Sus scrofa: one gene and its partner. Each later gene encodes a partner of the first gene's protein in a complex. Links are inferred from orthologs where the notes say so. Each region holds a gene or a part of one and is shown on either strand. Other genes may lie near its edges.

Evidence for each region. The genes of interacting proteins can lie anywhere in the genome.
Region 2: the proteins of ACSS1 (region 1) and SIRT3 are in contact, whole or in part, in a crystal structure (PDB 3GLT), measured with the Homo sapiens proteins. The link is inferred for Sus scrofa from reciprocal best matches to the Homo sapiens genes ACSS1 and SIRT3. Residues at the interface, in NP_115890.2 of Homo sapiens: Ser640, Gly641, Lys642, Val643, Met644, Arg645; in NP_036371.1 of Homo sapiens: Gly145, Ala146, Gly147, Thr150, Pro151, Asp156, Phe157, Arg158, Ser159, Glu177, Phe180, Gln228, Asn229, Ile230, His248, Ile291, Val292, Phe293, Phe294, Gly295, Glu296, Pro297, Leu298, Gly319, Thr320, Ser321, Leu322, Glu323, Val324, Glu325.

The regions. Positions count from the first base shown.
Region 1 is NC_010459.5:30,835,559-30,843,260, forward strand, and holds the start of ACSS1 (acetyl-coenzyme A synthetase 2-like, mitochondrial), read right to left. Parts: upstream 4,204-7,702; 5' UTR 4,158-4,203; coding exon 3,872-4,157; intron 1-3,871. UniProt on the Homo sapiens protein: Catalyzes the synthesis of acetyl-CoA from short-chain fatty acids. Acetate is the preferred substrate. Can also utilize propionate with a much lower affinity. Provides acetyl-CoA that is utilized mainly for oxidation under ketogenic conditions.
Region 2 is NC_010444.4:43,008-50,149, reverse strand, and holds part of SIRT3 (NAD-dependent protein deacetylase sirtuin-3, mitochondrial), read left to right. Parts: intron 1-713; coding exon of another isoform or gene 714-855; coding exon 856-902; intron 903-1,009; coding exon 1,010-1,242; intron 1,243-2,598; coding exon 2,599-2,699; intron 2,700-7,142.

The sequences.
Region 1 (7,702 bases):
TGTGGTCCAGCTCCTCCCTAGAAGGCAGGCTGGGGGCACGGAGCATTTTCTGCCCCATTCCCACCATGCCTGAGTTGGGGCCTTTATTTCCACATCTGTAAAATGGAGCCACCCAACACTTCACGTTGCTGTCACGAGGGTGATGTGAGATGAAGCACCATGACACTGACCCAGGGGCAGGTCTGCACTGGGCCTGACACCACTCTGCAAGCAGGTAAGCAAATGCCTGCTAGTGTGTGTTATCATTTCCATCATAAAATGGTACACATGAAAGCAAGAATTCTCATTCAACAAATTCTAGCCAGCTGTTTAAAGGCATCCCTGCCCCTCCCCACTTTATAGAAATTCAATTTTAATCCAAAGAAACGAGGCAGTTAATATTCACAAAAGAAATCACAATGGGTTTTCTTTAAATAGAAAACCTCCCTGGCACATTTTAAGGTATTGCATCAATCATAAAAATTGTATTTGCCAACTTTCCAGAAGCATTAGCTATTTAAAGGAGTCGTGCCTCTGACCACTGGAGAGGATTTGGGCTCCTCTGACGGACCCTCCCCCTAAGACCTGAGGTCACGTGTCCACTCAGAGCTCCTTCAAGGACCTTTGACAGCTCCTCCAGCTGCTGCGAGGAAACACAGCCCAGGAGGCAGGATCTTGCCGGCTCAGTGTGTCTGCCGTCCAAGGGACTTGAGGCTTGTCAAGGAGGACAGAGCTAGAGCAAAATGATTCCCCTGCTGCAACGAATGTTCCCCCAAACCTCCAAGCTTGAAAGTAAGAAGACACATACTTGTTTTTCAAAACCAGACCCAAAATAGTTTAGTTTTGTGTTCTGAAAGCAACACGTCACTACCCTCCAGCTCTCCATTTGCAACTTCCTAACATCTGACAGAGCAAAGACATCTGTTGAGACCTACAGGGAAAGAGGCAAACTTCAAAGACTGTACGAATCTTGTTCAGAATGGGGCTTTCTGCAGAACCTTATGCAAAGCATAACATAAGTGTAACAGAAGCACGTCACTGAGGGGTGTCAACTCTACCTCTCTGCCCCTGGGGCCTTTGATGCTACAACCCCCTCCACAGGCCTGGCTCTCCTGGGGCTGCAGGACAGACTCTCCCCTCAGCCACCTGGGAGGGAGCTCCATTCTGCTTCCCATTAGGTCCCCGCCCCACTGTTCATAGGAAGCACAGCAGGCTCAGCTGAACCTACCCAAGGCCAGGTTCAAGGTCACAGCCTCTCCCCTCTCCCCAATCCCCCAGGATTCATTAATAAATAACAAAGGCCAGTGGTTGGGCACCAGGAATGTTCTAAAGACAGTGCAGAGTGCTTTACAAGCGTTTCTAACTCAATGTCAATAGCAGCCCCAGGTGTCCCAGGTCACATGCCCCTGGTCTGCTAGGAAGCCTAGCAGCTTCTGCTTTGGTCTCAGGGATCTCAGGTTGCCAATGTTCCCTGGGCCCAGCCTCCACCCTGTGAAAAGCCCCTGGGAGATGCTTTGGGCCACAGTCCAGCTGAGCCCAGTGGGCAGCAGCAGTCGGCGCCACTCCAGATGGGAGTGAGCAGCAGGTGAAGACAGGAGCCCCAGATGACAGGAGCAGAGGCAGCCACGCCCTTCGAGCCCTGTCCAAAGTCCTGACCCATAGAATCTGCAAGTGACTAATAAAATGACAATGATAGGAACTGCGACACAATTCATTTATACACTATCCTCATGCTACACCTGGGGAGATGCAGGAAAGTACAGTCAGGAAAAGGCAAGGCTTCAAACCCAGGGGTGAGTCCAAAGACATGCTCGGTGCCACCCATGAAGCACTACTAGTCATCCGTCCTCTCCAGGACACTCTGCCCACTTCAGCAGTGTCTCCACCTGACCTGCTCAGACACAGGGCAGTGGTTCTCAATCTCAAGTGTGTATCAGAAGCCCCTGGAGGGTTTCTGGTTCTGGCCACCTAGGATGGGGCCTGAGAACTTGTGTTTCTAAAGAGTTTGCAGATCATGCTGCTGCTGCCTGTCCGGGAACCACACATTGAGAACTCAGGTACAGATCTTGGAGGGGTAAAGGGAATTTCACATGACGTGTCTGGAATGAGCTATCATCACACGACTGTCACACACACAGCTCATGCCAAAACACCCTATCCAGCCCACAGCTTTCTAGCGGCTCCCAGGGCAGCCATGGCTTGGCCTGGTCCTTTTTCACACCATCGCCTCTGTGATGTACAGACGTGGCGGAGGGCAGAGATATTCCTGATAGATGAGTGGGTGGCATACGCATTTGGGGTAAGAACACAGCTGAAAAGCTCTTTTGCTATGTGACAGCTTTCTGAAGCTCAGTTGCTAAGGGAGCCATAGGGAGAAATAAGTGTAGGAAAAAAGGTGGAAGAGTTGAGCACTGACCACATCTTGGACCTGACCCTGACAGAGTGAGGCTCATGAGGTTCTGCCTGCCTGTCCCATGAGACCCGTCCCCAGTCTTATCTGAGCATGAGAGGTAGCAAGTGCTCAGGAGCCAACCTTGAATGTCCCAGCAGCCTCAGTCTCCCAAGTCCAAGGCAGCTTCCAAAGCAACTGCAGCCTCCTGCCCCTGCCTCTGCACGTATCTCTCCCCATCCAGGGCGCGTTCCTCCAACCCTGCACATCCAAGGGTTTGGGGGTTTTCCCACTAGTTCAAGGACACTTGCTGCTGACTCAGTTTTAGAGAAAACGCTTATCTACTAAGTGAGTCATTTTGATTAAACCAGTAAAACAATACACAATATGAAAAAAAAATCTGGTCCAAAGTTCTCTTAAGTGTCTCTGTTTGAAAAATAACTGAAAGATACTAGCTATTATTTTACGGCTATTTCTGAATTTTATGAGTTAAAATTACTACTATTTATTAATCGCCAATAAGTGCTGGGACCGGTCCATACTTCTGCGTACTTTGTCCTTACAACCAGCCCCTTCAGGTGGGCATTACCACCCCCAGTCTACCCAGGAGGAGACTGAGGCTCAGAGGTACAGAGCAACTGGGCCAGTAGATGGTGGAGCCTGGGAGACTCAGACCCCCACTTCCCAATTCAGGCCTTGGTCATGAAGACCTACAGTTCCTTTCCTCAAACAACCCAGACCCCACTTACCTTTCCCCGTTCCCCTCTGACCACCCTGCCCGGCTGCCCACACCCAGGCCAGACCTTGCCAGGCTGGCCGCAGCCTTAGTTCCCGGGCCTTCTCCCCTAGCTGGGCTGGGGAAGGGGTTACTCTCCCCTCTACCCGATCCCAAATCCTGACAGCGCGTGGCGGGATTCAGTCTCTGCAGAGACCCGAGGACTGACGGGCAGTGGAGCTGGTTTCTGGGGTCCCAAACGCACCGGGACTAAAGCCAGCGCCGTGGGTCTTCCGGGCGAAGGTGAAACTGAGAACTGGGAGGCCCCACCACTGCTTCCTTCCCGGCTGCGAGCCGATTCCGGCTACGGGTCGATTCTGGCTACTGGCGGGGCTCTCCTCCTCGGCCACCCGCCACAGCTCGATTTGTTTACACGGGCAGGGCTGCTCCCCAAGCGAGTCGCCGGCCCGCACCTGGCGGTGGCAACAGCCAAAAGCTTCTCGGTGCTATCTCCCGCCGGGACGGGAGCAGGAAGTCCGGCTCCGGGGTCCCCGCGCCCTCCACCCCCGCTCGGCGCAGGCGTCTCACTGCCTCCCGCGGGCGCGCACGGCATGGGGCGCCGGGACCCCGTTCAACGTGGGGGGTGCCGGCCGGGTGGCAGGGGAGTGGGCCGGGCTGGGCCGGTGGGTGGGGGCGGGGTGACGGCGCCGCACGCCCGAACGCTGAGGAGGGGGCGAGTGCGGCAGCCGTCGCCGAGCTCGGGCGCCAGGGTCCCCGAGCCCACTCACCGGACACATTTAACTGGCCTCCCAGGAACCAGCCGATCTTGCCGCTGCGGAAGTCGCAGTCGCTCACCGTGTGGTAGGGGGTGTCCCACACGAGCACGTCCTTCGCCAGCGGCCCCCAGAAGGCGGCCGGCTCGCGCGCGGCCAGCGCGATCCGCTCCTGATAAGAGCCGGGCGGCGCGGCGGGGGCGCTGCTCCAGAGACGGGGGACCCCGGGGCCCCGAGCCCCCACCCCGCGAAGGCCGCCCAGGAGCCGCCCGACGCCGCAGCCCAAGCAACGGGCAGCCATCGCGCCTCAGAGCCCCTCGCGGCTGTGGCGACCCAGCCCTCGCGCGCCCGCGCCCCGCTTCGGCCCCGCCCCGCCTCCCGCCCCGCCCCGCCCCCCGCCCCTCCTGTCTGAAGCTGCCTCCCGACACTCCCCGCCCCCGCTCCGCCTCTGACCACCGCCCCCCCCTCCGCCCTGCCCTGTCCCACCCCTCTTCACCCCACGCAGAGCTGGGCTGCGAAGGGAGGTGGAGCCCCTGTGGAAGTGGAGTTGGGAGCGCGGCGGCGGAGGGGGTCCCCTGCCGGGCTGCCGGGGTTTCAGTTGATGCGTCCCCGACGAGTTCCGACGGCTGCGCCGTTTTGTCAACCGCAGATCTGCGCGGGCAATGCAGGCTCTCCTGGGAGCTGGAAACCGTCGCGGGTGGGAGGGAGCCGGCACAGATGTTAGTGACCCGCGGAGCGAGGCGCACAAGTTGCTCCAAGGACCACTCGTCAGGTTTGGTCGGTTCAGCATCTCAGAGGCTGAGAGCAAAGTGTTCATCCCTTTGTGGGGCCTCGAGATTGAATGCTTGAGCGGCCTGGGTGGCCTGTACGCCTTCCCCCAAAACATACACAAGTAGTCCCCGTGGGCTAAGTGGGCTGGTCAGGGGTCCTCGGACCAGGAGACTGTAAGACCTTGGGTCTGGGATCTGGTGCTTTTATACAGCAGAGAAGCAAACATTCCACCAGCCATGATTGATTTGGAACCGTGGGAGTTCTCAAGCGCAGCTCCAGCATCTGTGGCCTGAGGTCAAAATCTGAAGTTTCTAGCTCTGTATCCCGGGACCAGTTCCTTAACCCCTCTGTGCCTACACCGACTCCACTACTGAGTTCCCTGGTTACCCCTTCCAGGCTGCACATTTCAGACGCCGACTCGTTTATTCTTTAAGCAGCCCTGGGGAGGTAAACAAAAGTAATGTCTCCCTGGGGGGAGGAGGGTCTCCCAGGGGACCCAGTAGTGAAGGCTGTGTTCCTGTTGTCAAGCTGGGAAAGATAGTGGGAAACCCACAGAAACTTGTGGCAACTAGACTCTTAAATATTACAACAAGCACACAAAGTAAACATGTAATGTAAACAGAAGGGAGAGGGGATTTTTGAAAACTGGTTGGTCGAGTGCTTTGGGTTTAGCATAGATCCCTTCCTGTTAGCAGTAGGAGGTATTTGTGCTGTCAGTCAGCCCCAGCACGTGTGCCTGTGTGCCTGTGTGTGTGTGTGTGTGTGTGTGTGCTCACCCTCCTGCTACTGCTTTTTAAGGCTGGGAAACCAGTGATAACAGCTAGCACTAGACATGGGTCCTGCTCTGTGCTGAGCATTTACTTGCAATTTTTACTTAATTTAAAAATTATCTGGTTCTGGACTTTCCGTGTGGCTCACGACATAACTATTCAGCATTGCTTCTACAGTGGCTGTGGCTCAACCCCTGGCTCAGGAACTTCCATATGCCACAGGTGCTTTAAAAAAAAAATTATCTAGTGCTATCAAGTGCTGCCAACTCTCAACTCTCAAGTGGAACAAGGGACTCACTGAGCAGAGAGAAATAAACAGAATTGCTAAAAAGCACGTGGTGCCAGCACACCCACTCCCACCTCAATATCCCCCTCACTTGGCCTAAATCATCATTTTAAATAGATTAAGTAAATTGCAACAGAGAAAGACCTTAACTGTGGCCCAGGGGTGGGGGGAGTTGTCCCCAAAGATGGCCGCTAACACTTCACTCCCTGATGTAAGAGGCTCCCCTACAAGAAGAGTCTGTGTCCCCCACAAGTGGGCAAGCACTGCCATTCCCACTGTCCCAGGTCCAGACCCCACAAGATCACAGCTGCAGCCCCTGTGCTCTTGGAACCCAGCCCCATGCTGGAAGTGTCGAGCCTTCTGGAGGAAGAGATTCTTGGAGAGAACAATGGAAAAAGTACATAGAACTGACAATACTTTAAAATAAAGGAGCACAAAGCTGGCATTTCCTTCAAGTTGGATAAAGAGAGGTGATTGTGTGTTCAGAAAACTGCGGAACCATCCAAGTGGCACAGAATTGCACTTCCTAAAGCCCAAGCTACCCAAGCTGAGGCCACTGAAGCCAAGGCCACCAGCTGCCTCCTAGAAGCCACCTTCTGGGAACTACAGCAGGTGGAGCCACACTGCACCACGCGTTTGGCCACGACCATGGCCAGAGAGCTGCTTCCCACCGGTCCTCCCGTTCTGAGGGAGCTGCTGCTGGCCAGGCAGTGCTGGTCATGGATGCCTGTGCCTCTAAGATGGGCAGGGTCTTCAGTGTGTGCAGAAAGCTGGACCTCAGCAGGTGCCGAAGTAGGAAGCCTGGGAGAGTTTCTGCCGGAGCTGGGCTTCCTTTGTACCTCAAGCCTGATGTTCAAGTTGGAAACAGTGATCCTCACAACCCTGGGAGAAGGATACTCTGGTCCTCATTGTACAAAGGGAAAAAACAGGAGATACTCCCACCCAAGGCCACACAGCCGGAAGGGGCCTCCAGCGCTCACAGCTTTAACAGTTTAGGGCATTGCCCTTCCTAGGCCCTCCCTCCCACAGTGCTGGGAGCTGCAGCCCTGGACCCCTCTAAGAAGCAGCTTTGTGGGTATCATCCCCAAGACCCACCAGTCCCCCCAGGCAGGCCCGCACTGAGTTGCCAGACGTCCTTGCTTCTCTGCCCTGCTGCCCTCACTCTCCCACCGACCCTCAGTGACAGGGTGTCTGTGGAGCCCCTCCTGTGTGCATGGCCCTGTGTGGAGGCTGTCAGCTCAACAAGGATGAACCAAACACAGCCCTGAGCCCAAGGTCACAACTTGGGGTTGGGGTGGGGAGGGGGGAAGGCTGCAGTGAGACAGATACCAGCTCAAATGACTGAAATGTGAAGCAAAACCAAAACGAAAAATCCACACTGAGAGCCTAGATGTGGGTCAGAGGAAAAGCAGACCCTGCCGCTTCAGGGGTTCTGAGACAGGCAACACAGGGTGTCAGGCTCCTGGCCCCGTGTCCCCATTTCCCAGTGTCCCCATGACCTCAGTGGCAGTGAGGATGCATGGGGAGGCTTGTGTTCATGGCTCCAACAAGGGGCCTCCGCCTGGAACACTGGACACCAGATCCTCGGGAGTAAGCACGCACACCCCGTGTGCCCTCCCGCCCGGCTCCCAACTCAGCAAACTGCCCCTGCCCAGCTCGAGAGGCACTGTCCATCCTGTCCCGTCCCCTGTCCCCACCCCAGCACAGCTCTTGCAGCCAGCTCCCCGCAAACCAGCTCTATCCTGGACTCCAGTGCAACTAGAAACAGTCTGACAGATGTTGGTCCCGTAGCTTCTGAGAATGGTGGCAGTTCTGGCTGAGAAGTCTTGTATTTTGACACACAGAGAATTAAAAGTTGAGGGGCTGGGCAGCTCCAGGGAAGGTGCTGTAGGCTGGGTCTTGGAGTTTCCTTTGAGCCTGAATCACAATCAGTGGGCAGGTGGGGAGAAGGGCGCCTCTACTAGAGAGGTCAAGGACAACCCTACTCTGAGAAGCCAGCCCCACACCAAGCCCCTCACC
Region 2 (7,142 bases), on another chromosome or scaffold:
TGTACCTTGCTCTTTTTTTCTTGTGGAAGAGCATCTCATGCTCCTAACAGTTAACCTTGTGAAGTGTCTCAGCTCCTTGCTTCTGGAGGTGACCTGAAAAGCCTAGAATTTTGCGAGAGACCGAGAGCTGCGGTCTGCCCACTGCCTTGCCTGGGATGTGTGATTTGTTTGGCTGCTGTGTAATATGAGCAGCATCCTGAATGGCTGTGAGTGTGGAAGATGAGGTCTCTGCAGCAGTTTGAATCCCTCGCTGTCAGGATATGAATCTTTCTTTCTGGAATGATCTCTTGAATCCGCTTTTCATCCTGATAATATTTTTGGTGTAAAGTCTGAGACTTTTAACTCCCTTTAAATGTCACTAAGTCTTTGTCATATTCCAGGTATGTTAGGGGGTATGGCTCTGCAGAGCCTGTCCCCAGGGCCCTCACAAAGGGATGCTCCTGGCTCTAGCCTAAGCCTTTAGCACGAGCCTTTGATAACGAGAATTGTGAAATTATTTGCACAGTTCCCATTAACCTGAAAACTTTGCTCCCCAATTCATCTTGATTTGGGAGTTTCTGTTTTATCCCATGATATGGAAGGTGGTCTTTTGGGGGCAGCAGGGAAGTGTGTGGTCATTCTCAGTGCTGCGGGTGGGGAGGTGGGTCTGCTCATTCTTGCTAGTGTGAGCTTGATTATCATTGGTTACCTGGCCACTCTCCTTTTTCTGTCAGTATTACAGGTGGAAGAAGGTCCATATCTTTTTCTCCCGGTGCCTCAGGTGTCTGTGGAAGTGGAGGCAACAGTAAGAAGCAGCTTCTCCTGCAGGACATAGCTGAACTGATTAAAACCAGAGCCTGCCGGCGGGTGGTGGTCATGGTAGGGGCCGGCATCAGCACGCCCAGCGGCATTCCAGACTTCAGGTGCCCAAGCATCCCTGTGCCCCCGCCTGGCCCCCCAGCTGCCCATGGCTTGCTCCACCTCCCTGTTCTCTCCTGAAGGGCTCAGCGCCTTTCACTTCTCTCTGCAGATCTCCAGGGACTGGCTACTACAGCACCCTCCAAAGCTACGACCTCCCCTACCCCGAGGCCATTTTTGAGCTCTCATTTTTCTTCCACAATCCCAAGCCGTTTTTCACTTTCGCCAAGGAGCTGTACCCTGGGAACTATAGGCCTAACACTGCTCACTACTTCCTCCGCCTGCTGCATGACAAGGGGCTGCTCCTGCGGCTCTACACCCAGAACATCGACGGGCTTGAGAGAGGTGAGGCCTCCCTTTGTCCCACACCCTCTGCTCCTGCAGGAGGGCTCAGGGGCCCATTTCTAGGAGGGCTGAGGCCTCGTGTTTATTCTCCATCCTTGTGGCTGATTTTGAGCCAAAAAAGTTGTGCCTTTATCCCCAAGAGAAATGTCCTTGCTGTTTTAAGTGTCACTGTTGGAACCTCATTGGTGGACCCACTTTCTGAGCTTTGATCTTTGGATGGAACTGAAGGTCACAGTGGGAGCTTCTAGTTTTGCTGATCTGATCCGATGATGTATTTTTCTAAATTTTCATTATGGAAACGTTTGCGCAAGTAAAATACAGAGAAGAATGTGACGAACCCTCATGTCCTCATCACCGCACCTTCTCACCTCATCACGGCCAGTCTTCGTACAGTCTGTGCCTGACCCTCCTCCTCTCTCACCCCTGACTGTTTTGAAGCACGCCCCTCCCTTTATAAACTTAATCTATAAATTCAGCAATTGATATTTTTGCTGAAGATAAAGGCCTTTAAAACACAACCACAATATTGTTATCACACAAAGAAATCACTCATAACTGCTTAATATCATCAAACATGGTGTGCGCTGATTTCTGGACTGGAAGGCAGCCACAACCAGTGATTCATGGGTCGTACCGACCTCTGGCCTGGCCGTGTACCCCAGAGAGGCCGTTGTTGGGCCTTTTTCATGCATGCAGTGATACTGACTGGTGCTAACAGTCAGCTCTGAGCAAGTTAGCAGCAGCTCATCGGGCTGCAGATGTCTTGTGATTTGAAGAAAGGGGTTTTCCTGACCTCAGGAAAGTTTATTTGCTTGAAAGACTCTACAGCTTGGAGCCACGTAGGCAGCAGTGACTCCCCCCCAGGAACGCAGCAGGGCTGGCCTTGCGGGAAATCTGGCTTTGAGCTTTGTCATACGCAGAGTTACGGGGTCGGCGGGAAACCGCTGCAGCCAGGACCCGCGGCCTTTCAGAAGCTGCTAGTGGTTACATAACGTTCCTGGTATGTTACCTCCTGTCTGTTTTTCCACAGTTTTTGGAAGTCTATATTATTTTCTCACGTTTACTGGTGTCTGTAGAGTTGAAAACGGTCTCATTGGTGTTGGATGTAAAACTTCACCTGTTTGTGTACTGTTTTCACAGGCTTTGTTTTAACTCTGCTTTGGCTTCACATCAGAGCCTCATCCCTGTGCTCGTTCTGATCAGTGGGGTGTCATCTGTAGGTGATAGAGCCAGGGACATCAGGCTTCCCCTGAGGGCTGACTCCTCCTGGGGGGCCTCCTGAGCCCAGAGGTTATGCTAAGGGGCTTGTGCGCCCACCCCAGAGGCAGCAGCACTTAGCTTTGGTTTGGATTCCAGCGTCTGGCATCCCTGCCTCAAAGCTGGTTGAAGCTCATGGATCCTTTGCCTCTGCCACCTGCACCGTTTGCCGAAGACCCTTCCCAGGGGAGGACTTCTGGGTGAGTTGTGACACTGACGGTTCTCTCCCTTCCGCACTTCTCATTGCGAGTAATATGGGGAAGTAGTTTATAAGCATCATGTCAGAAGGACAACAGAACAGTAATACCGTGAAAATATTTTTCTGTGCTTTTGCATTAGAAAAGTAACATGTGTTTATAAAAAATTAAGGCAATGTAAACAATAACTGTATAGCACCGAGAACTGTATTCGATATCTTGTAATAGCTTATAGTGCAAGAGGATCCAAAAAAGGATACACACACACACCACACACACACACCACACACACACACACACGTATGTAGAACCGAATCACTTTGCTCTATACCTGAAACTAACACAATGTTGGGAGTTCCCGTCATGGCTTAGCAGAAATGAATCTGACTAGCATCCATGAGGACAAAGGTTTGATTCCTGGCCTTGCTGAGTGGGTTAAGGATCTGGTGTTGCCGTGAGCTGTGGTAGGTCGCAGACACGGCTCGGATCCCATGTTGCTGTGGCAGTGGTGTAGGCCAGCAGCTATAGCTCCGATTCAACCCCTAGCCTGGGAACCTCCATATGCCATGGGTGCGGCTGTAAAAAGACGAAAGACCAAGAAAAAAAAAAACAAACCCACAATGTTGTAAATCAATTTTGAAAAATGCTCAGGTCCTAACTCCTGGTACCTATAAATATAACCTGACTGGGCAATAGGATCTTTGCAGATGGGAAAAAAATTAAGGCAGTACAGAAATGTGTAGGGAAAAATGAACCTCCCTTCAACTAGTTCCCGTAGTCAGCTTTTGGCCGTGTGCTGTGTTGTGATCCAGGCCTGAAAAACAGAAACATATGTGTGTATAGTAGCACACATGCAAATTTCTGTGCACCTACACCCACACCCACATACAATTACATTTTTTTTCAGTAATGGGATCATCAGGATTAATATTGTACAGTTTGCTTTGTTGCAGAGCAGTTTCATGACTATCTTGTGCCAGTAACTGCAGCTCTGCTTACGGTTCTTGGTCACTAGAGAGCATTTAATTTAGTCCTTTACCTGTTTGGGGATATTCATGATATTTGTGATTTTTACTATTAAAAATAATATAGTAGGAGTTCCTGCTGTGGTGCAGTGGGTTAAGAATCCAACTGCAGCCGCTTAGGTTGCTGTGGAGGCATGGATTTTATCCCCTGCCCAGCACAGTGGGCTAAAGGATCCAGTGTTGCCGCAGCTATGGCTTGGATTCAGTCCCTGGCTTAGGAATCTCCGCATGCTCTGGGTGCAGCCATTGAACAAGCCAGAAGCCAGTGATAGTCCAGGCTTACGTCCCTGTGTACCTCTGTGAGTGTTTGTGAGTAGAACAAGTTTTCTAAAGTCGAGTAGGATAGAATGGAAAATCCTAAAGCAAGTTGAAACTCTGAAATATCGATGTGGCGCAGGATCCTGTGTTTTATTTTTTTATTGAAGTGAAAATCACATAACATAAAATTAACCTTTTTTTTTTAGGGCCACACCTGTGGCACATGGAAGATCCCAGGCTAGGGGTTCAGTTGGAGCTGCGGCTCCAGCTCCAGATCCAAGCCACATCTGTGACCTATGCTGCAGCTCTCGGCAACACCAGACCAGATCCTTAATCTACTGAGCAAGGCCAGGAATCGAACCTGCATCCTCCTGGATACTAGTCGGGTTCTTAACCCATGGAGCCACAATAGGAACTGCCTGAAGTTAACATTTTTAAAGTGTACAGTTCATTGGTACTTAATATGTTCAGAGTTGTGCAACCACCACCTCTAATTCCAAAGTATTTTCATCACCTCAAAGGAAAACACCGCACCCACTAGTCAGTCAGTCATCTCCCCTTCCTGCCCCAACCCCTGGTAACCCCTGATCTTTTTACTTTCTCCATACTTTTGCCCTTCCAGAATGTCGTAGAGTTGGAATCATACAGTGTGCTGCCTTTTGCTCATTGGCTTCTCTGACTTAGCATCGTGTATTTAAGGCCCCTCCGTGTCTTTTCATGGCCCGATAGCGCTTTTATTTTGAAGGGTGAGTGATAGTCTGTTGTCTAGATGGAACCGTTTGTTTGTCCCTTCACCTACTGAGGGAGCTCTTGATCGCTTCCAAGCTTTGGCCGTTAGAATGACGTTGCTCTAAACATCCATATGCGGGTTTGTATGTGGACCTGAGTTTTTGGCTGCTTGGGGTCAATGCCAAGGTGCATGATTGCTGGATCGCAGGGTAAGAGTATGCTTATGTTTGTGTCTTCCAAAGTGGCTGCCCCGTTTTGCATTCCCACCAGCAGGGAATGTGAGTCCTCGTTCTCCACATCCTCATCAACACGTGGTGCTGTCAGCGTTCTGATTTTGGCCATTCTAGTAGGTGTGTACTGGTATCTCGTTGTTTTAATTTGCAGTTTCCTAATGATACATGATGGTGAACTTGCTTCATATGCTCATTTGCCATCTGTATATCTTCTTTAGTGAGGTCTTGGGCCAATTTTTTAACTGGGTTGTTCATTTTCTTATTGTTGAGTTTTTTTTTTTGTTTTTTTTTTTGTTTTTTGTTTTTGTTTTTGTTTTTGTCTTTTTGCCATTTCTTGGGCCTCTCCCGCGGCACATGGAGGTTCCCAGGCTAAGGGTCTAATCGGAGCTGTAGCCACCAGCCTAGCCAGAGCCACAGCAACGCGGGATCTGAGCCGTGTCTGCGACCTGCACCACAGCTCAGGGCAACACCGGATCTTTAACCCACTGAGCAAGGCCAGGGACCAAACCTGCAACTTCGTGGTTCCTAGTCGGATTCGTTAATCACTGCGCCATGACGGGAACTCCTTATTGTTGAGTTTTAAGAGTTCTTTGTGGAATTTCCTGGAAGCCTAGCAGGTTAAGGATCCAGCATTGTCACTGCTGTGGCCCAGGTGGGAACTTCCATATGCCAAGGATGTGGGCTAAAAAAAATTCTTTGTGTATTTTGGATAATAGTCCTTTATCAGATACATCTTTCGTAAATATTTTCTCCCAGTCTGTGACTTGTTATCTCATCCTCTTGACATTGTCTTTTACTTTTAATGGAGTTTGACTTACTGTATTTTTCTTTCTTGGATCGTCTCCTTCCGTATTGTGTTGTCCATTCTGAGTCTTTTGCTCTCCATATAAACTTGAGATTAAGTCTGTTGCTATCTATTGTCTACAAATTAAAATTTTTTTTCTCTTTGTCTTGGGAGTTTTGCACTTTTAATGTGGCGTGTCTCCATATGGATTTCCTTTTATTTATTCTGCTTTAGATTTGTAGAGCTTTCTGAATCTGTGGTTTGATGTTTCATGTTTGCTAAAAATTCTCAGTCATGATGCCTTCAGACAGTGAATGCTCCACCCACCTCCGGTCCTCTGTGGACCTCGGGTTAAACATCTCTGAGAACATCTCACACTCTGCCCACAGCCCTTGGCCACGCTTCTCTTTGTCCCACCTTGCTCCCCTTTGTGCTGCATTCTGAGTCTTTCTCCTGATCTACTTTCCAGTTTATCAATATTCCATTCTGTCATAGAGGATGAAGCCCTTCACTAAGCTTTAATTTTCAGTATTCTACTTTTTATTACTGGAAGTCCTATCAGGTTCTTTTTCTTTTTTCTTTTCTTTTCTTTTCTTTTCTTTTCTTTTCTTTTCTTTTCTTTTCTTTTCTTTTCTTTTCTTTTCGTTTTTTAGGGCCGCACCCATGGCATATGGAGGGTCCCAGGCTAGGGGTCCAGTCGGAGCTACAGCTGCTGGTCTACCCCACAGCCATAGCAACACAGGATCCAAGCTGTGTCTGTGACCCACACCACAGCTCACGGCAATGCTGGATCCTTAACCCACTGGGGGAGGCCAGGGATTGAACCCGCAACCTCATGGTTCGTAGTCGGATTTGTTTCCTCTGTGCCATGACAGGAACTCCTTATCAGGTTCTTTTTCAAACCCACTACATTATTTTATATGGCTTTCTATCTCCAATAGATATTTCAAACCTGTCTCTTTAAAAACTTAAACATAACAGGGAGTTCCTGTCGTGGCGCAGTGGTTAACGAATCCAACTAGGAACCATGGGGTTGCGGGTTCGGTCCCTGCCCTTGCTCAGTGGGTTAAGGATCTGGCGTTGCCGTGAGCTGTGGTGTAGGTTGCAGACATGGCTCGGATCTGGCGTTGCTGTGGCTCTGGCGTAGGCCGGTGGCTACAGCCCCGATTAGACCCCTAGCCTGGGAACCTCCATATGCCGCAGGAGCGGCCCAAAGAAATAGCAAAAAGACAAAAAAAAAAAAAAAAAAAATTAAACATAACATAGTTTTTAATCTATATCTGATAATATCTGAAGTCTCTGAAGAGTCCATCTCTTTTGTCTGTTATTTCTGGCCGGTGCTTACAGGGTTCAGCCTGCAAAAACTCCAGTGAACTGTAAAGGTTTATCTTAGCAGGACAAACTAAAACTTCTCCCT